Styela clava: one gene and its partner. The protein of the gene in region 1 interacts with the protein of each later gene in a biochemical or structural test. Links are inferred from orthologs where the notes say so. Each region holds a gene or a part of one and is shown in the gene's direction. Other genes may lie near its edges.

Region 1 (11,003 bases):
GCGGATTGCGCGCACAATTGATTGCGTGCGGCTCCGTCGGTAGTTTCAAAAAGGGAAAAAAAGGTAGGCCTACATCGCGCGCACAATTGACTTGTGTTTCGATTTCGCAGTTACTACAATGAAAACCTAACATAACACCAAATTCTGTGATTTGCAATGTCTATAAAAGCGTTTTCAATCCTAGGTGAGTCTGCTGAAACCAAACGTGTGATCTTCCATTTTAAGTTTTAGTTTTAATATTTCAGAATGCCGCTTTTTAATCAAGAAATTTGAGTTGCAGATTTATCTCTTTATTAATTATTATTTTTAGCATTTCGTCGCCGATGACTATAATATGGTAACATGTTTTTCACATTGAACTCATAATTCCCCACGAGAACACAAAAGCCATTAACGTCGTCATTGTGTAACAATACATGTATATGCAGAAAGAAATTTGAATCAGGGAGAATAAACACCGGCGTGAAGATGTTTAAAGGTTCAAAAACACGCCATGCTGAGGAAAAATCGGCGATTGTAACAAAATGCAATCGCGCACATTATTAGCGGCCTTTTAAGTCTTCCAAACATGTCAAAAGGGAAAAGATTCGACCATGTTTGTCAAGTGTCAAATTTACAGCTTTAGTATATATAATTTATGTTTGAAATTTAGATTTTTTTATGACTTGTATTAACCGTTTCAAAAAAGGTTCAGCATTTAAATTGAGTAAAGTACTTTTAACTTGCTCAGGAATATTAATCCGAAAGAAACAATTTTAACATTTATTTCGGGGCTCCGTGAATAATAGTTAACCTTTTCAAGGGCTCCGCAACACCAAAAGTTTGAGAACCCCTGCTCTAGATAAGTGTATTTCCGGTTCGCTCACATTTGAACCCACGTACATTTGAACCCGTAATTTGAACCCACGACAATTGCACCTGCATACTATTGCACCTATGGAAATGTTTTTTTTGCGGATATTTGAACCCATACTAACCCTAACCTATGGATTTTATAACCCTCATATAGATTGATCCCGCGGATATACGGGCGCAAATGTATGGGTTCAAATGTACGGTCACCGTATTTCCCAATGACGATGCCAACAGTGAGACGTGAAGTTAAAACCATGGTTTATGAATGCACGTGTCTTGATCAACGCAGCCTGTTAATTGTCGAAGTAAATAGCAGAGGGTTGCCAAGCGTGACGTTGCTAATTAATTAAGGTTTTGATCCCTCACATCTTCGTCAGAAGCTGTGGCGCAAAGGAAGCGTGTAGGTACGGTAAAGCACCAAGGCTGGGTTCGAACCCTGCAGGAGGTACAAGTCCCCAAGCCAGAATGAATAAAAATAGATGAGGTAGATCAAAACAAAATAGAGAAAGTGAACAGGGCCCTACGACAAAATAGAAAATAAAAACAGAAACAGAAGGAAAAATACGGATGGCAGTAAGAGAGGTATAGAAATAAAGGAGGGCAGGCAGGGAGCAACGAAGGGCCGCGGACAAAAAGACGAGACGAACAGGCGAAGAAGGTGAGCAAGACCAAGAAGGCCGGGCGCAGGAGAGGGTGAAAAGAAAGGATCAGAAAGGGATCGAAGAAAAAGCCCAATGAGCAGCAGCAGAGAAACTGTAGGGAAAACGGTGGGCAGCATGATGGTGAAAAGAAAGGGAAACGGAAAGAAGAGAAACTGTAGGGAAAAACGGTGGGCAGCATGAGGGTGAAAAGAAAATGAACAAACAGGGATCGAAGAAAGGGGAAAGAAAGCAACGATGGGGCAGGAAGGAGGGTGAAAAGAAAAAGACTGATAAGAATAAGGATCCCAAAGAAAGGGAAAAAAGCCCCGATGAGCAGCCGCAGGGATACTTAGAGAAACTGTAGGGGAAAACGGTGGGCAACATGAGGATGAGAAGAAAACCGAATGGGCAGCAGAAACGGCGAAGGGGCTGTGAGAGAAGAACCCAAGAGGGAAAAAGCAAATTCAGCAAGGAAAAAAGGTGTACTGTGATGAGGGTGAAAAGAAAGACTGTGATGGCAGCAGCAGAGAAAAAAACTGTAGGGAAAAACGGTTGGCAGCATGTGAGGGTGTAAAAAAAAAAAAAGAAAGAGTGAGGGATTAGAAGAAAACCTAGAGGCTGAAAAATATGAAGAATTGGAAAGTGCGGACAAGAAGGCGGAACTCCTTCAGTAACCCCCAAAGAGGGATAGAAGAAAGAAAAAGCAGGATGCGATGCAGCAGGAAAAGGAAAAAAAGAAGGTAACAAATTAATAAATAAAATAAAATTCAGAGGTAAGATAGGATTAAGACAAAATAAGAAGGAAGGAATTAAAACAAGATAGCGCACCAAGAGTCGCGCATATCCTGAACTCCCTTACCTGGTACACAACCTGGTCCTCAAGAACAAATCAAATCCATCGAAGGATGGGATGGAAAGACCGATCGATGCTGCGGTCCAGAAGGCATTGCGATCGACAGGCGAAGAAGGTGAGTAAAAAATGGAACCAAGACGGGCCAGAGCGCAGACACGCAGTACACGTAAGTAGATAGAAAATACACGCAGTACACGTAAGTAGATAGAAAATACGAAATAAAGAAGAAAAATAGGGCAAAAAAAATAAATCCAGAGAAAACAGAAGTAAAAATAAAAAGACGTAGTCGGATCATAAAACGAACGAAGTTCGGTCACTTTTTTCCGTATTTATCCACCGAATTGTTGAATATAATCCCCGATTTCAAAATTCCTAATCTACTCCCGAAATCATTCCCATCATGGGGAGTTTCCAGCCATTTTTTTGGAATGCCAGCGCAACTCTTCGCGCACGGTCTAGACCCAGAGGTCCTTATTTTAATCCTAAACTATTATAAAATACAATTTCAACTTAGAACCTTCGACCACAGTGCCAGATACTCCCAAGAATAACGATTTGGATGGCAGTAGCTTTGCTTTCTCACACATGCCTGGCTAAAATTCCCACGCTGGTGGCGGTAGTGGACAGCGTCTTTCAAGGGCTTTCATATTATGTTCCTCTTTGTCAGTGTGTCGGGTCTCGTATGCTACAACATTTTAGTTCGTGGGGAATGTGATTATGATTATGAAGAAACCGAAATGGTTATTTTAGCTGTTTACATCGTTTGAAAGATGGTGTGTGTGTATATGACTAGTCTGAGTGTTGGAATGGGTAGAATATTGGTTTTGTTCTGCCAGTTTGCACTGTTTCTGTTTCAAGCTCTTTTTACGCATGAATCAGTTGCTCGCTATGCAGCTATACCGTACCTAGTCAATTTTGACCTTGAGAGCAAGCCTCTGTTATATATATCATACTGTACAACATATCGCCGGATGAGAACAGAAGGGGCCTCCTAAGTCACATTTTTGCAAAATTCACTTTTTTCAATATTTTGGGGTTTTGAGCCATGCTCTACAAGGTGGTGGTCTTGAAATCCTGAATTTCTCAATAATAAAAGTTTTAGCTGGACTTAGGACTGTAGAAGTTAAGAACAGAATGGACCTAAGTCCAGCTAAAATTTTTAATATTATGAAAATTGAGAATTTCAAGACCACCACCTTGTAGAGCATGGCTCAAAACCCCAAAATACTGAAAAAAGATAGTCCCAAGTTCCAATATGATGGGCATGAACATCAGAAATGAAATGTCCGAAACTTGCATCCCTAAAAATTTCTTCAGTGCAACGTAGGCCTAAGTCACCTTGTTTTACCTTGCATCCCATACAAAAAAATTCAGAAGTTGTTGAGAACAGAATGGGCCAAAGTCCATTATGGGGTTAAAAAAGCAGGAAGGAATTAAAGCTGAAGTGCCAAAAAATATTGATTACAAAGATATTGACATCTACATCAAAATACTCAGAGCTCAGGTTTTTACTAAGTGTGAATATCTAGAAAGTCGAAAATAAAAAAATTCCAAATTGTTTTTTGCGTTTTTCTCAAAACTCAAAATTGTGACTTAGGCCTGTTCTGTTCTCATCCGGCGATATATTGCTTTGATAGACAAGAATATTTTTAACTAGTAATATAATATGACAACTCCTGTATGGCAGTGTCAGTTCTGCATTGTATTCTTGGTTAATAGGGTACCTTTCTCTTTTTTTATTCTCAGAATTTACATTTCTAATCTGTTCACTAAACTGGTTTAAAATGTTAGAATATGTCGGAGCAAATTACTTGCGACAACGATTGGTTCTGTCAATTCTTAGTGGAAAACCTGTTCGTATTTCCTCGATCAGAGACAACAGCGAGAGTCCTGGTTTGAATGAATACGAAGCTAATCTTCTTAGATTTCTGGAAAAAATTACAAATGGAACCACAACGAAAATCAATGTCACTGGAACTACTTTAATCTTTAGGCCTGGATTGTTAATAGGTGGGGTGATAGATCATGATTGTAACCCTCAGCGTTCCATCAGTTACTTATTAGAGGTTATATTCTTCCTTGCACCATTTTGTAAAGAAAGGGTTAAAGCGACGCTTCGTGGAGTAACCAATGATTCATCTGATCCGACAGTTGATTTTTATAGATTGACAAGCTTACCAGTCATGCGAATGTTCGGAGTGCTTGATGACCTGGAACTCAAAGTTATTAAGCGAGGATTTGCCCCTGAAGGGGGAGGTGAGGTGTTTTTTCAATGTCCAAATCCAAGAAAATTAAGACCCCTTCAGTTTTTCGACCAAGGAAAAATAAAACGGATACGTGGTACTGCTTTTGCATCAAATGTTTCTCCACAAATTCCAAATCGTGTTATAGAATCATCAAGGTCTGTGTTAAATACTTATTTGCCTGATATTTATATTTATGCTGATCATTTGAAAGGAAATGCTGCTGGGAAATCTCCTGGATTTGGAATCGTACTAACCGCGGAAACCACAACAGGTGTTGTTTTAGCCGTGGAAAATTCATCAAATCCCAAAGGGCAGGGTGAACCTGTTATTCCTGAAGAATTAGGCACAAAAACTGCAAACGATTTGCTCGAAGAAATATTCAACGGAGGATGTGTGGACTCTGTAAATCAAGGACTAGCAGCTTTATTCATGGTTCTTTGCGAGCAAGATGTTTCTAAATTGATGGTTGGTTCTTTAACGGACTACACAATAGAATTGCTAAGACACATAAGAGATTTTTTCCAAGTAATGTTTAAACTTGAAACAAAAACGTTTGATCATGATGAAAAAGGGGGGAGGATGGGCGGTGATAAAGTTATAATGACTTGTGTTGGGATTGGATACTCTAATATCAGCAAAACTATGAGATAAACGAAATAAAATAATGAATGAATGATTTGGTGGTTGTAAGTAATGATACAAGTTATGGAGACTATATGTTATGAAGTTAATTATGGATATAAGCTATGGGGACCAAATAAATTAAAGATTCAATATTGTTTTTAGTGAATAATAATCATAATTTTTGACGTAGTTGTGTATTTGAGTCAATGAATTTCAAAATTTAAGATCGGGAGTCATGGAACTGATAAGTCAATTCAACCACTGCACAGTCAAATCGGTTTCTATAACTGAGTCAAGTTGAGTCCTTTCAATGGATAGACTCAAGTCATTATGAATATTGACTCACGTCTTACTAGTTGATTGTAATAAAATCTGATTGATCATTACGGAAGTTTTATTAAGAGCTACACAGTATCTTTTTTCAGCAGGCTTATTTAGTAATGCTTCAACTTTTGATTCTTTTTGGAACATTATAATTATAACTCAATAGAACCTTTTTTGTAATGATTTATTGCATACTGAATTACAACTTTAGTTTTAACTAATGTCTCTTGTTACTTGTCTCTATACTTCTCGGTGCCAATTTCCATTTTACTCTCTGCTAAGTCTTTGATTCGTTCATGTTTTGAAAGCATATCATCACTCAATCATGTTTTTTAGTGTAAATTGTTATATAATTATATCCAGTATCAATATGTGACAATGTCGTTGGATTACAAAGTTTATTCTGGATTTTGTCCAGATGAAAAATGTCAGGTTAGTTTCAAATTTTTAGTCATAGAACAGCTGTTAAAATTTTGTTATGGACATTCATTTTTGCTGTATTTACTTGAAATCTCCATATATTGTATTTACCATTTAATTTAAATCTTGGATTTGTTACATTTCATCCAGAATTATTTCAAAATTATGAATATCAGTTATCAAATCTAATTGTTATTTTATAAAAACATTCATGATCTTCATTACCTGTAACCAGGGTTGTCCAAAACGAATCGAATATTCGAATGTATTCGAATATCAAAGTATTCGAATACTTTTTCGGCTGATTTTCGAATAATTCCGAATAGTAGCCACTTTTCGCCGTAAACGTGGTGTTTCGTTTTACGGGAATCTTCAAACGACTTTTTACGCTGTCTCACGTATTGTAATGACGGTGAATTAGAATCGGCACTTTGATTGTTTATATTCTGTGCGACCGTACGTCGCATAGTGTTGCGACACATTTGCACGTTTGCGTGGGTGGACATTGCCGACATTCGTCTAGGAGGCTTCTAATTTACAAATCCATTTCCATTACGTCGAAAAATTGACAATTACCGTATTTCCAGGCTAATAAGTGGCTTTTCTAGGCCACCGAGATAAAGTGATTTGTGACCCTTTCGTTTTGCCGATTCAGCAGAACACAACAGGAAAACACAGCTGTGAAATAACCCTTGGACGTACAGTGTATTACTTATCACATTCCAAAATTATTTCAACATTCGGGTTAATAGGTTGTCCAAAATGATTGCCGCTTTACAACTTAAATTTACCGCTCAATTGTTAAAAATAGTAAATACTGTGAGTATGATTCTACCAAACTAACATGATCTGGTTCTAAACATTTAAAATTATTAGCGCATAATATCAGCATAACTGAACAACAGGGACACAATTTTTCTACCCGTCTTATTGGAGGCCTATATGGAAAAACCCCTTTTTGGAGTGCTAAAAATAGACATCGTCCTATTTGCCATGTGGACTTATTAGCCGGGGAAATACGGTATTTATAGCAGTCATTGTTACGATATCCAATAAATTGTCACAAGTTGGAAAAACAAGTCGATTTATTAGAAAATAATTTCTGGCGAATAATTCTGATAACGATAGCTAAAAGTATCAATCTTTTACCAGGATGATTTTGTATTGCGCAATATAATTCAATCCATGACTGGTACCAGCATTTAAAATGTCATTAATTTAATTCTGTTCAATGTAACTCATGGTTGCATCGACAATCTGTGGACATAAATGTGTGGTAAACTGACCGATTTTATCAAATATTTATTCCTATTTTTATATTGATAAAATAATGAAAGTATTAATACCAAATACCACGGGTATTAGCGGACATGAAATACGTTGTAAACTGCCCAATTATAATTTCGGATTCGTATTTATAAAATAACTAAACTATGTGGACATAAATTGTGTGGCAAACTCGCGATTAATATTAATTTTTGATTCCTATTTTCGTATTTACAAAATACAACGGTGATCTGTGGACTTAGAATGTGTGGTAAACTACCCGATTATAAATAGTTTTTGATTCCTATTTTCATATTTATAAAATAATAAAAGTATTATTACTCAAACATACAACGGCGATCTTCGGACTTAAAATGTGTGGTAAAGTTCCCGAATATAATTAATTTTTGATTCGTATTTTTGTACTCACGAAAAAATTGTCACAAGCCGGAAAAATAACTCATACTTTATCCCGCTTTTTAGCAAATAATTTGGATAATGGCTGGTATCTGAAAGTATGGGCGTTTCACTAGGATGATTTTGTGTTGCGCAAATATTCAAATCCATCATCGATACCACTATTGCCGTATTAATTTAATTCTGTTAACATGACTCATGGTATATAAAATATATACTGCAATTATCTGCGAATATGAAATGCCTGGTAATATAGCTAGGTTGTAACTTGTAGATGCAGTTATTCCATTGCTTATTGTATGGAAATTCCTACATACATTTAGATAAGCTTCAATTAATGGATTTTATTTTCGAAGTATTCGAAATTTCATATTCGAAAATGTATTCGAAATAGTGAACTATTCGGTTTTGGCCATCCCTGCCTGTAACCGAGCTGTTGCTTCAACTTAGTTGAAAATCATTCAATTAAAATTCGAAAATGCTTATAGCTGAGAGGTCATATTTCTCGATAAAAGTCTCTTTTATTGTCCTAAGAATATTTCACTCACAATGGTTTCTATATCAATTAAGTGAATACTCAACATTATAGTGATTTCAGAATTCAAAAATCCATTTTTCATTTCTTTTTAGAGCAAACTTTATTTTCCTGCTCACAAGAGAGTCATAGAATGTTCAAACTGTGGCCAAAGTCATTCACAAGTTGACCTTCACAACATTATAGAGGTCACAGATGGGGAAGAAGCATTCACAGAAGTGGTGAGTCAAGTCAGGCTAGGTGGAATTTGAATAGTGACTTATCGACTATATTAATTTTGATGAATATATTTTAATAAATTAACTTAGTCACATTTAGTGATTTTCATCCTACACAAAGCCTATTTATTGATAATATCTAATTGAAAAGCTTTATTGACATATTACATGGAAATCCCATTAAATATACTAATTTTTGAATTTAATTATTGAATTGTGTGCATAACAAAGGGTTCATCTTTGTTGAATCACTGCACAAAATGAATGGGTGAATTCAAAAATAATAAAATGATTAATATATTACTTATCGAACACATTCTGTAGTAATATTTTCGGAAATTTCAAACATGAGTTAAAATAAACATTGTTTTTATTGGTTTTTCTATGGTCATTATTAATGAACTTGTTTTCAGTCTACACATCAGATGTTAATTTTTCAGAATTGATTTTTAACATTTCATAAAATCTATTCAAAATTGAAAAATTTCAAATATTCAGGAAAGTAAGATATACTGTATAACCTATTTCTAAAATCAACAATTTTCAATTCAGAAATATAACTTATTTTAAATATATCTTACTGTATATCCTCGCATATAAGCTGATCTCACATTTAAGCCAACCCCGAAAAAACGGCCCTAAAACTGTTTATTTATGAAAATTTACATATAAGCGGACTTTTATCGTCAGCACTTAGCATGGTTCGAGTTGGAGCTATTAGAATTAAAAGACCATGATGTCATTTTGTTTGAGTGCGATTGGAGTTATGTGCGTATAAGCCCCTTAGTTTGGCAACTTTTTTTTAGTTTAAAACTCAGCTTATTTGCAACTTAATAGTGTAATATTTTATTCATTTTGAACATATCTGATTTAATTTTCTATACTTCAGTTGAAATCGATCGTCTGGGATGCAAAATTGCCCAAGAAAGGAAGTGATTCTATTAAAGTTCAAGGTTTATCCAATTATCACTGTAAATTGTTGTCTCCTCTATTCACCCGATATGGAATGGATAAAGCTGGAAAGTATGTTTCGATTTTGTCTTGTTCAGCCAAGTTTGTTTCTCGAGTGCCAAATTGAAATGATTGCACCATGATTTACGGTATTATGCATTATTGTTATTGTCAAATATCTTTCAAGGGTTTCTGGTTGTAGTATGTTGTTTTGTGTCAGGTTCCAAAACAGCCCATATGTTTTTTTATTGATAATCCATGAACTGGGGAAGTCATGGGAATTTTATCATACAATATTTATTATTAGCCGCAGTATACCACTCACTCAAGGATGATACCTATGAGGGTTGCAGCTACAGCACTCAAAATAAACTGGCAGTTTTGGTATCCTGGTCACTGTCACATTGTACTACGCTGTCGCTATAGATGCAATTTTGCGCGGTTGACTGAAGTGCATGCCGCTTCATGTATCAGCAGTGATACTGGGCGCCTACCGGCTTTTTTTTTCAGCTTCCCTCATGCACAAGAAGAAAATTAATAGCTTATTCATTTTAAGTAACGATTCTGTATGAATTTTTTAATTACTCTATTTATATCAAAAGATATTTAGTCAATTTTTCCAATTCTCATCAATCAGTTGCAAAAGCTGCATCGTTTTCGCTGATTTCAACATCATAAATACCTTAATTATTCCTGTGCAGCCCTAAGCTGTTACTTGAACTTGGTCACGGAGAAACTGCAGATTGTGGAAGATTATTGAGCCATCGTGCATTTCTTATCTCACCAGAACATATCAATATAACTGGTTATGGGAAGGATCAATCTGGCAGTGTCGAGTATTTGAATGGTCTGTTAGGTAAGATTGTAAAATACATGCTGTATCTTTGCTCTTTTGCTTTGTATTATTTTCTTCGTAAAATAGAATTTAAAATTTGAAAGACTATAAATCAGAAATTTTGAAATCTGACATGGAATAGGATGGCTCGACTCTACCTTGATTATTTGTTAGCGAGATTTGGAAAAAAATTGTGCTAGTCTTCAAAATAGAAGAATTGTCTTAGTGGAATACGATTTATCACACATCACACCATTTATTAAATGATGTATCGTGAAAAAAAAAAAATAATTACCATTTGTTGCTGAAATATACATGTATATGGGGTCTTACTACTTACTGAATACAGCGCGAAACACCGCAAAGAGCGCAAAACAGCGCAAAACAGGAGACGCAGTCATTACCACCTCCTGCCACGAAAGAACCACGGCGCCTCTCGCTATGGTTTTATGGCGCTATTTCCGGCATATTTACAAGGTTATGTACCGGATTATAGGTCATCATGCGAAATTTTATCCACCTTTTTGGTGCTCCAGAAGTATGTGCAGCAATATGTTGCACAACCTGAATCCGCTACACACACATACTATTTTCAGGTTGTGTGCCATCTTGGTGCACATACTTCTGGAGGTCCCTTTTTACCTAACCCTAACCCTAAAGCCAACCATATCCATATGGAAAATGTTCTGAATTATGGTACCCAAAATGTGTCACCAGCAGGGGCAGACCTGCCATTACAGCATTACTGGCTACATACGTTGGTTTGTGTTTTTAATTTGCTGCCGTGATACTCCAACTCAAAACAAGGTGCCCCGAAC
Region 2 (9,501 bases), on another chromosome or scaffold:
ACCAGAATGAAATATTTCTGATAGAGATGTCCAATATACATTATCATTCGATTTCTCATTTTGATACTGACACAATCATACCTAAACCAAATATTCATAGAATTCATGCCTGAGCGAAAATCTTCAACTTGAAAAATCTACAAAATTTATGATGGTTTGCAACAATTTGATAAAGCTGTCAAAGCCACATAACACATGACAGCAAGTCAGAGTCACAGTAAAATATATACACACACCTGGACGGCTTAAGAATTACTGTTTGAATTACTTTTTACTTTACAAAAACAATATTAATTTATTTTTGTCAGCAATATTTTTGTAAGATTAGGAGTAGTAATCACAAGATCAGAACGCTTGTAGTCAATAATGGTAACAATTTACCAACTTACAGGAAAGTTTAAGTCAGAGAAATGGACTCAATGTGGTATAAACAATGATTTGGGTACTCCATGATTAGGGGCATTATTCACCAATTTAAATTTAAAATGAATTGCAGAATAGTAACAGTGCAAATACCGGTATTGAACATTGTTGATATCCATACCAACAAACAAAGTTTAACGAATGATAAGTGAAATAGCTTATTTATTATTTAGTTACACAATAGTTCCGAATTATAGATAAAAAATGTATACAAAAAATTGGTATGTATGCTTTCTTTGCTGCTTCAAAGCAACTCAATCTTAAAAGTTGAAATTTAAGGTTGTAAATGCTAAGTGATTCTTAAAGTCTCACAACACCAATTCCTCAATGTCATCTTCATGAATGGACGGAGTAGCTTTAACAGGTACACCTGTCTTAGTTTTACTTGAAACATGACCATTAACATGGTTTGTTGTTACAACATTTTTCTCCCATGGATATCCTGAATGAACAGGTTTAGCACGTGGAGTCGTTCCTCCTGTCCCATTTGCTTTCAAAGATTCATTAGAATCATTTTTAAGTTTATCAGTGCTTTGCTCTCCAAAAAGTTGAGATAATAAATCCGATTTTTTGTTTTGTGTACCACTATCTAAGTCAAACATTGGCTCATCATTATCAGAATCAGATGACATCATGGCTGGCTTCTTGTTGATAGTGACAGGTTTTCTGCTAGCTTGGGTAGTTCCAACAGAAGGAGCATATCCTCCAAATGACAACTCCTTTTCAGGTTTTTCAACCTTCTTCGGATTTGAAGGCAATCCCATATGCAGATTTTCCACAACTGGATCAGAGTCATTAGTGTCAGTTCCCAATAATGACTTCACAAGTTCAGCCTTTGATTTAGGGTGCATTGTGACTTTGCTTGGAATGGGCGGATTTTTGATAGTTTCAAATGACAATGGTGCAGGTGAAATTGAAGAATTTTTATTGCTTTCAAGAGGAAGAGAATTAGGCTCATCGTGCTCAATTTCGCGCATTTTTGCTAACAAAGCATTTTTCTTTTTTTGCTCTTCTGCTAATCGTCTCCTTTCTTCTTCCAGTTTTTGTTGCTTTTTTATTTCACTTATTGAGTTTTGTTTTTCTTCTTCTACTTTAACATTTGATCTCAGTGATGAAGACTCATAATAACTTGGTTCAAACTGGGTTGCTGGTTTTTCAAATTCAATAGAATCAGCTACCATTGAGTGAGTTGGTGTTGAAGAATTTGATAGAGGGTGTGAAGTGAGAAATGCATGTTGGTCAGTGGTTTTACTTTGCTCTTTGCTAACATGACCTGTGGTTGAATGTAAGCCATTTGTAGTTGGACTAGAAGTCAAAATGCCCATGGTATTTGCAGTAGGAACAGGAGAAGAATTTGAAGGAGATGATCGAAAATCCGAGTGATTTTCAGTTGGTTTCGTTCTATCTTTTTTTCTCTCACTAGGAGACTCTTTTCGTCTCAAACCCATCTGTGTCGGCTTCACTGTTGCATTATTTGAGTGGAATGTTAATGGAAGAGGTGCTTCAGTTTGAGTAAAAGTTGAATTAAGCAAAAAATGTTTCCTGGGTGTAGATTGAATTGACTTTATAGCAGATTGCTCTTTATTTCTTAAAGCATAAATATTACTAACATTTAATGCTCTTTCTTTTTCTTTTAATCTTGATTGCACAGTTTGATAGTCATCAGTCAAAGCATCCAACTTTTCCTTTGTTTCTTTGTGTTTTTGCCTTTCTGATTTGATTTGTCTCGAGAAACTATTCGTTGTTAACTCTAATTTTTTCTCCAACTCTTTGACTTTCCGTTCAGCAACAGTTAAATTATTCTCTGTATTTGTAAGCTGTCTTGCAAGTTCTGATCTTTCCCCTAAGTTTTTGTCATAAACAACTTTTTTCAGCTTCCGCAAGGTTTTCTCCATTTTCTGCATTTCATCATTATTTTCATGGAGTTTTTCTTCTAAGATTCGTTCGGCTTCCTGTGCCTTTTTAAGTCTGGTTTTTAAGACTCTTTGATCCTCAAAATTTTGAGCTATTAGTCGGGGCAAGTCACTTTCAACATCTTGAAATCGTTTGAGAGCTTTATCCTGTCGGTGCTGAACAGTTTTTAAAAGTTTGTTCTCTTTAAGCATACCATCTAATCTGTGTTCAGTTTCGACAAGTTCATTTTGTAGTTCATTTATTTTTCTTTGTTTTGCTGACAACATTCTGGTTGTTATATTATCCCTATGTGCTCGAATCGATTCCGGCTTACCCGAATTGTTGGATTTCCAGCCATACCTGGGTCTGGATTTTTTCTGACCTTTCAAACCACGAGCTACACTTTGAGTTGATTTTTTGCTGCCGGAAGAATGTAAATGTGAAGTGGAAGATTGGTCTGTGTAGTAAGAACCACTATCATGTCTTCTTCCTCTAGCATTTCCTCCCCTGCGTTTTGGCGGTGGTGTAGCATTTTTGCTTATTGCATCTGGTTCGAAGTCATCGGAATAATCTGTTTCGCTTGGATCGTAAGTTCTTGTCCTGGGACGCTCTTCAGAAGTTGAGCGATCCCGTCGACGTCCGCGATAAGGTGATCGGCGCGAACTTGCATTCATTATTATTCAAGCGAGCTTAATACCTCCGATTTCATCCGAGGAAAAACGTAAAATATATAATTAAATTTTTCTCTTACAGTCTTGAGCAACGCAACCAAACGCTGATCTAGAAATGACATCGACCCGTCTTGAAAAAATCGGTTTTGGTAACTAAGAATGTGCAATGTTTATTTGCGTTTCGAAGCGTTCCGTAACTGCAGAGCTCAAATTCGAAATACCTAAGAATATTTGATGGCTCGCAGGACAGCTAGTGGTTGTTCGAGGATTTTGTAGTAACAATTTTTGCATCTATTTTTCGCTTCGTATACACAATCATAATATACCGGTACGTAGTATCTACAAATTACTGAAATTTACAAATCAACCTCCGTGTTTGATTTTTTATTTAGGTGTTTTTGATCTGAAAAAAGTAATCTGTTTAATATTGACAAATGTATTTTTCTGGTCGACAAAAAATAATAGCACTCGCTGCTTCTAAATCTCTTTATAGATTTTGCTTACTTTTGACATTATTTTTTTCTTCATTGTATTGTTTAATGTTTTGCTATGAACGAAATAAAGAAATGTTTCAACTAATGTAATCCTGAATATGGAAGCCAGGAAAACAATTTCTCCTCTGTAAAACGAATAGAAACATTACACATTGAGCTACTAACCCAATTTTGGGTTCAGTGGCTTCTCCAAAGAATGCTGTTTGCAATCTATACGATTTAATAACCAGGAATCCACAACAGCTATTTGCACCAATTGCAGAACAGAGGCATTTACCATCCTATACAATACAATTTTATTTCGATCTTTCGTCCACAACACAAGTAAAAAAACACACAGACAAAAGCAACTGAAAAATCGGGAAAATGGGCAAAACCTATATAAAGGTTTATAATGAATGCTGTAACCAGCGCCTGTGCTCATTCACCCACACTCACACAAGTGAAAACACGACAATCATACCATAATAAATTAATGAACAGAGTACATGATCACGAGAAAATAAATTTCACGGGCGAAGCCTATTTGTAATGTTGCAAATAATTTCGATGAGTGAAAGTCGTGAACGATACAAAAACATTTAGAAGTTATGTGACGGTGCCTGTGCCGAAATGCGAATACCAATAATAACAATTAATTAATTAGCTGCTGTTTTTTTGTAAACAAATAAAGCTTAAAAGTAAACAACAAACATAAAAACACGAAAACTAGTTTCGGGCGTTGCTTCTTATGTTACAAAATTGTTTCGAATTTGTAGAAATTGGAGTATATGATTTTAGTCTTCGCAACGTCCAACATTCCGGAGCTTCCATCTTGCTGTCTCGAGCATCGATTGTTCCTATGTTTCTCTCGCATGAATTTACCGACCAATTCAATGCCGACAGCTAAGTCGATTATTTCTGTTCCCTCGAAGTCCCTCAGATTCAACCATTTGATACAAATGATCAACGCAAATCTTTTGATCAACGCATCTTCGGGATTTCAAATGATAGTTGCAAAAGCGTGCAATATTTTGATCAAGCAAATCGACACTACCCATATTGCATTTGAATTCCTTTATAATAAAAAGGCTTGATACATACAACTATATTATCAAAGAATCGTATGGTCCAGACAACCAGATGGATTATATATACTTCTTTTCATCACATCGGCTTCATAATGGGTATCTTAGTGTGTCTTTTCATATTTTTCTTCTTTTTTATTATGGTTTCTAGACTTTTTTAATGGGTGCCGATGCTAAATAACCAGTATTGGGTTTCTGCGTTTCCCTTCAACCTGAAATGCAATTTCTTCATAGGCCCTATGATACTTTGTATGTCGTGAGTGCTTTTTCAGCGTATTAAAAAATAAACTACTGATTACTGATCTTCCCCATTCAGATCTTAGGCGTCTGAGCTAGACCCACGCGAATATCCTTTTTATGAGTGTCCTGAATGTTCCATTTTGAAGGCTAAGTAATTATCACAAAATGTTGTAACATAAGATCCATAATAAAGCTTTGAAAATATTGGGGTAATGAGCGAAGGTTGACGGTTGGCATGTAGGTTTGCTGATCTTGACATTTTCAGATTGAAAATCGTCCTTTATCAATCTGTACTTTCGCTCATGTTTCTTGCCCATTTTCTTTGTTTTCAAAAAAGTAGATGATGGAAGATCACCATCTTTGCCGAAGTCGCCAAATACATCTTCCATTATTAAAATCCATTGTTGCTTGGTCGAATTTTTCATTCTCAGTTTTGCATCCGTCAAAATCACTGTAGTAACAACAACCTCTTTGGTATGTGCAATCAAACCAGTTACTGTTACATGCCATTTAAAAAAAAAGTCCGAGCATAATAAATATGTTGGATTTGTGACGACTGATGGTTTAGCCATAAGATAAATATCAAAAATGAAAAATATGAGGTCAGAACGCGCAAACATTCATACGCAGAAACCACAAAATGCCATAAAGCAAGTGTATAGGCAATGTTGGCATGCTTGACGGTTTTGAGAGCATTTTGGGCAATGACCTCGAATATTACTCATTCTCAAATCCCGAACTGCAGAGTTAGTAAATGTTTGTAGTTTTACATAGCATACACTCCATTCGTTCACCTCGCCAGGTTGTTGGCTATAGGGTACTCTCATTGGTAAGATGTACGGTAATTTCTAGTAATAATATATAACAATTGAAATTAGTTAGCTAATTAGTAAAATTTATATGATATCTATTCGTTGAAACTCTTCTCCCCGATCTGTTAAACTAGGTGTTAGAACCTTGGGTGTTGCAGCTCGATAACCAGTTTTGGTTCCCCGCGGCTTCCCTTCCCCAGTAATTTGAATATCATTTTTTCTTTATATTTTTGCATGTTTTTTGATTTTTACTGGTTGGAAAAAATAAACTTGACTTGACTTGATCGACTTATAAATCGCCTTTTTCTCCCTTCCCCGAATTCCTCTCGATAAGATCTCTACTCCCCATTTGAACTCTTTTTGTGATTGTAAGGCTTGTGATTGTACACGCACACAAGCATTAAGAAGAGATAGAGATGAGGTAAACGTTATTGGAAAACATAAGCATAATAGGTAAAAGAAAAATTTGTAGGTACACACTGTCTGGTCACAATACAATCGTCGGAGTCGAAACCACTCAATTCGTGGAGTGAAAATATAAAACCATCGCCTCATTTTTACATTTCAAATATTTATGCATAAGCCACCCCTTTGGGTAACATATTCAGATCCAGAACTTCTATAGACAAATTAAAATCATCAAAGTTATGATTTTAATAAACAGACGTTACGAAGAACGGATAACCGGAAAACGCTGTTGTTTTACTCCTTTCACTTCTAAGCTTTTTTCATTGGTCCAGTCTTTCAGCCAAGCCCTGTCAATCGTCTCTAGTCCGCGTACCGTTGATGGTGCCACTTGTTTTGTTCTCGGAGCTGTGATGCGATGGTCATCGCCGAAAGATCAAACGATACTTTCCAAATCAGAGAAGTAACGCCTTATCCATGAACGCAGTACAAAAACGAGGTAAATATAGCGTTGTACCGGTACCGGTACCGGTATATTTTGTTATGAGTCGTCTTTCCGGCTGCCCGCCATGTACAATGTCCCAGTATCTTGATATCATATCGGTGGCATTCAATATCTGAATATAGTAATTGCTCGCCGCCTAAATGTTTTGGGTATACCGAATCTGTGAGAAGGTACCGGTATACTGTTCAACCTAATCTCTTATCTTTCAGCATAACCATCTTTTTCAGACAACAGTCAGACAGCAGTCTGTAGTACAGCAGTATGAAGAATGCACTTCAATGGACATCAAGTGCCTGGTCCAAGACTGCATTATATTGACGATCCTGAATGGTGTTCTGTACTCTCACAGATTCTCCATCAAACTGTGTCTCAGCATTCTTTTTAAAAGTCATTAAAATAATAAATTGAATATTGTGTAGTTATGATACTTTGATATAAATCCAATAACACCAAGTTGAACTTAATATATTTACACAGACAACACATAACTTATATAATGGTTTATGACCACATAAATATAAACTCATCAAACTTTGCCTGTAACCTAAAAACCAGTGAACATATTTCTGTCTTTGGTCGGTACCCATACATACACAATACAAGTATTCTGACCGTGCAGTGTTGCCATTGACACATAATAGAGTGATTTTCAACTGGGGTTCCACAGCATCACCTCCAGTAAATTCCAGGGAATCTGCAAGTTTACATTTAAATTCGAGAGTCTATTAATATATGTATATTCAGATATTGGTTAAATATAATCAAATACATATTACATTAGGCTTGCCACTATTATTGACCTTTCTACACTTTGAAGATTGTTTCGTTTTGCCATTGTAAGGGTTTGCTTTTCATATAGAAAAACGCAATCAAACTTTCGCATAGGGGTCCCTGAAGCCACTGGAATTTTTCATTGAGGTTGGCATTACTGGCATTACCAAAGTAAAATGAAAGTTAATTAAGAAAAAGTTTATATTCTGCTTTAGTCATGCTACATAGATCTGAAGAAATGAAATCTTTGACTTTTCCTATTATTGACTGAATAAATTACTTGCCTATTTGCTCTCATCTCTTGGGTACCTATTACAAATGGGAAGACTACTGAGCTGCTTTTGTGGTTTGTTAGACGTGCTTTGAAAGTATTAGGCCTTCTTTACAGTATGAGCTAAAGTCTCACACAGGAGGCAATAATTACCGCTACCACCACATTGTCAGATGGGTTTGAAAAATTTTTTTTTAGAACTGCTTTATTCAATCCTAATAACAAAAATACCGACTCTGGTCTTGGTTGGATCTTTCTGCTAACAGACTCTTCTTGTAGTATATAAACATAGTGTGGCATTATACTACTCTGCATTCTCTTGAAAAATCATGAATTGAATTATTTATGAACCTTTTACAGATAATCTTTTATTTCGAAGTGCTGTAACATCATGCTGCTATTCGGCTTTATACTGCTATAGTTATGAAGCACAAGAGTTTTTATCGTTGAGCATGAGCTTTGAACCTGATCATTAGGCACACTCCACCTATTTGAGAAATGTTTTTTCTTTATATTTTGTAATTATTCATCTAGTATTTTTATGTTGGCCTTGTCAAATTGGGCATTTTGTCTTATTTCCTCGTATTTTTACAGGGATGCATGAAATGCGAAAATCTGAAGCAGTTCATCAGCATCATCATAGACATGTAGATGGGAAGAAAGAGATGTTTGGAATGCACAAATTCAATGATAAGTGTAAGCGTATAATATAAATTTACAACATACTCAAATTGGTTAGGCTAACCTTGTCAGCATATGGAAAGTTAGTGTTTCAAATTCAGTGGAAAGCACAATGTAGACAACTCAACCATACAATCACCATTAAAGATGTTTTTTAGAATTGAGAGAATTAAAGCTTGTTTCAATGGTCCCCAGCACCAGTAATATTGGATTCCATTAAACCATCTGTCTCATAAAAGTTTGATTATTGTGCTGTCTCTGGACTTATTAATATAACTTAAATATTAGCAATAAAGTTTGGAGTTTTTAAAGTTCTTCAATGCAAAAATTCATTGAAGAATTTCATTTTGTCGTTGTGGAATTGCATTCATTATTTCCATACAAGTTTTATAGTCTTTCTCACCAAAATATTTGCATGAGATTAAATATCTGCTATTATTCTTCATAAGCAACTATCTTTGCACAGTGGGTTCTTATTATCATATTTTTTGATACATTATCAAATGCCATAGTCCACTTGTATAAATTGTCCTATCATAGAGTAGGCAGGCCAGGGCTACTGAACTATTTTTACCGAAGATCCGCATATAAAACTTATAAATATAAAAATATTTGGGTCCAGTCTTTCCAGAATTTATATTCCGACATCCTTAAACACACACTTTCACGGCCGACTAATGATTATTAGCTAATCAAGATTGTGTATTATGGCGTTATAGTTCTTTTCATATATATTTAAATTTATAAAAGTGATTTTAAAAATGGAAACTCCAAAAGTGGGGCCAATGTTCCAAAATAAAGAATTAGGCGCGGTCCGAATCGAATACCCGGAAGGTCCGGATTCAGACCGTGGTCCGCCAGTTGATCATATTTGGGAAGATATATATATATATTTACCTAACTCAATCAAATGATCCACACAGGAAGTGGCTGCATTGAATATTCAGTTTGTTTACATTTTAAATTTTAGCATCATCTGGTGACATCGGCTCATCGTCCTCTGTAAAATCAAATCGTGATCACAGATCAACAAAGTCGGTTACTTCTCAGGTTAGAGACAGTTTTAACAATCTGTGAAAATGTAAACGATAGTATTGTTTGATATTTGCGTTTTTAAATGACTTGTCTGTTGTCTTATATTATGCCGGTAATATGAATAGAGCTAATTTTGAGCTAAATAAAGGAATGATGTTGATAAAGTAGAGATTTATCGATAAGTTTGAAAGTGCTTTGTCGTTTATATTTCCTAAATTTTAATTTAGTTTTTA

The links.
Region 2: the proteins of deubiquitinating protein VCPIP1-like (region 1) and uncharacterized protein LOC120341967 form a complex in vitro, tested with the Homo sapiens proteins (2 studies listed by BioGRID). The link is inferred for Styela clava from reciprocal best matches to the Homo sapiens genes VCPIP1 and WAC.

What each region holds. Positions count from the first base shown.
Region 1 is NC_135262.1:5,496,877-5,507,879, reverse strand, and holds the start of deubiquitinating protein VCPIP1-like, read left to right. Parts: upstream 1-5,858; 5' UTR 5,859-5,921; coding exon 5,922-5,975; intron 5,976-8,276; coding exon 8,277-8,402; intron 8,403-9,288; coding exon 9,289-9,422; intron 9,423-10,051; coding exon 10,052-10,206; intron 10,207-11,003. Other genes in the region: RNA 3'-terminal phosphate cyclase-like protein, read left to right, coding at 4,134-5,246. UniProt on the Homo sapiens protein: Deubiquitinating enzyme involved in DNA repair and reassembly of the Golgi apparatus and the endoplasmic reticulum following mitosis. Necessary for VCP-mediated reassembly of Golgi stacks after mitosis.
Region 2 is NC_135252.1:8,106,759-8,116,259, reverse strand, and holds the start of uncharacterized protein LOC120341967, read left to right. Parts: upstream 1-6,333; 5' UTR 6,334-6,482; coding exon 6,483-6,504; intron 6,505-8,146; coding exon 8,147-8,248; intron 8,249-9,203; coding exon 9,204-9,283; intron 9,284-9,501. Other genes in the region: uncharacterized protein LOC120342255, read right to left, coding at 732-2,990.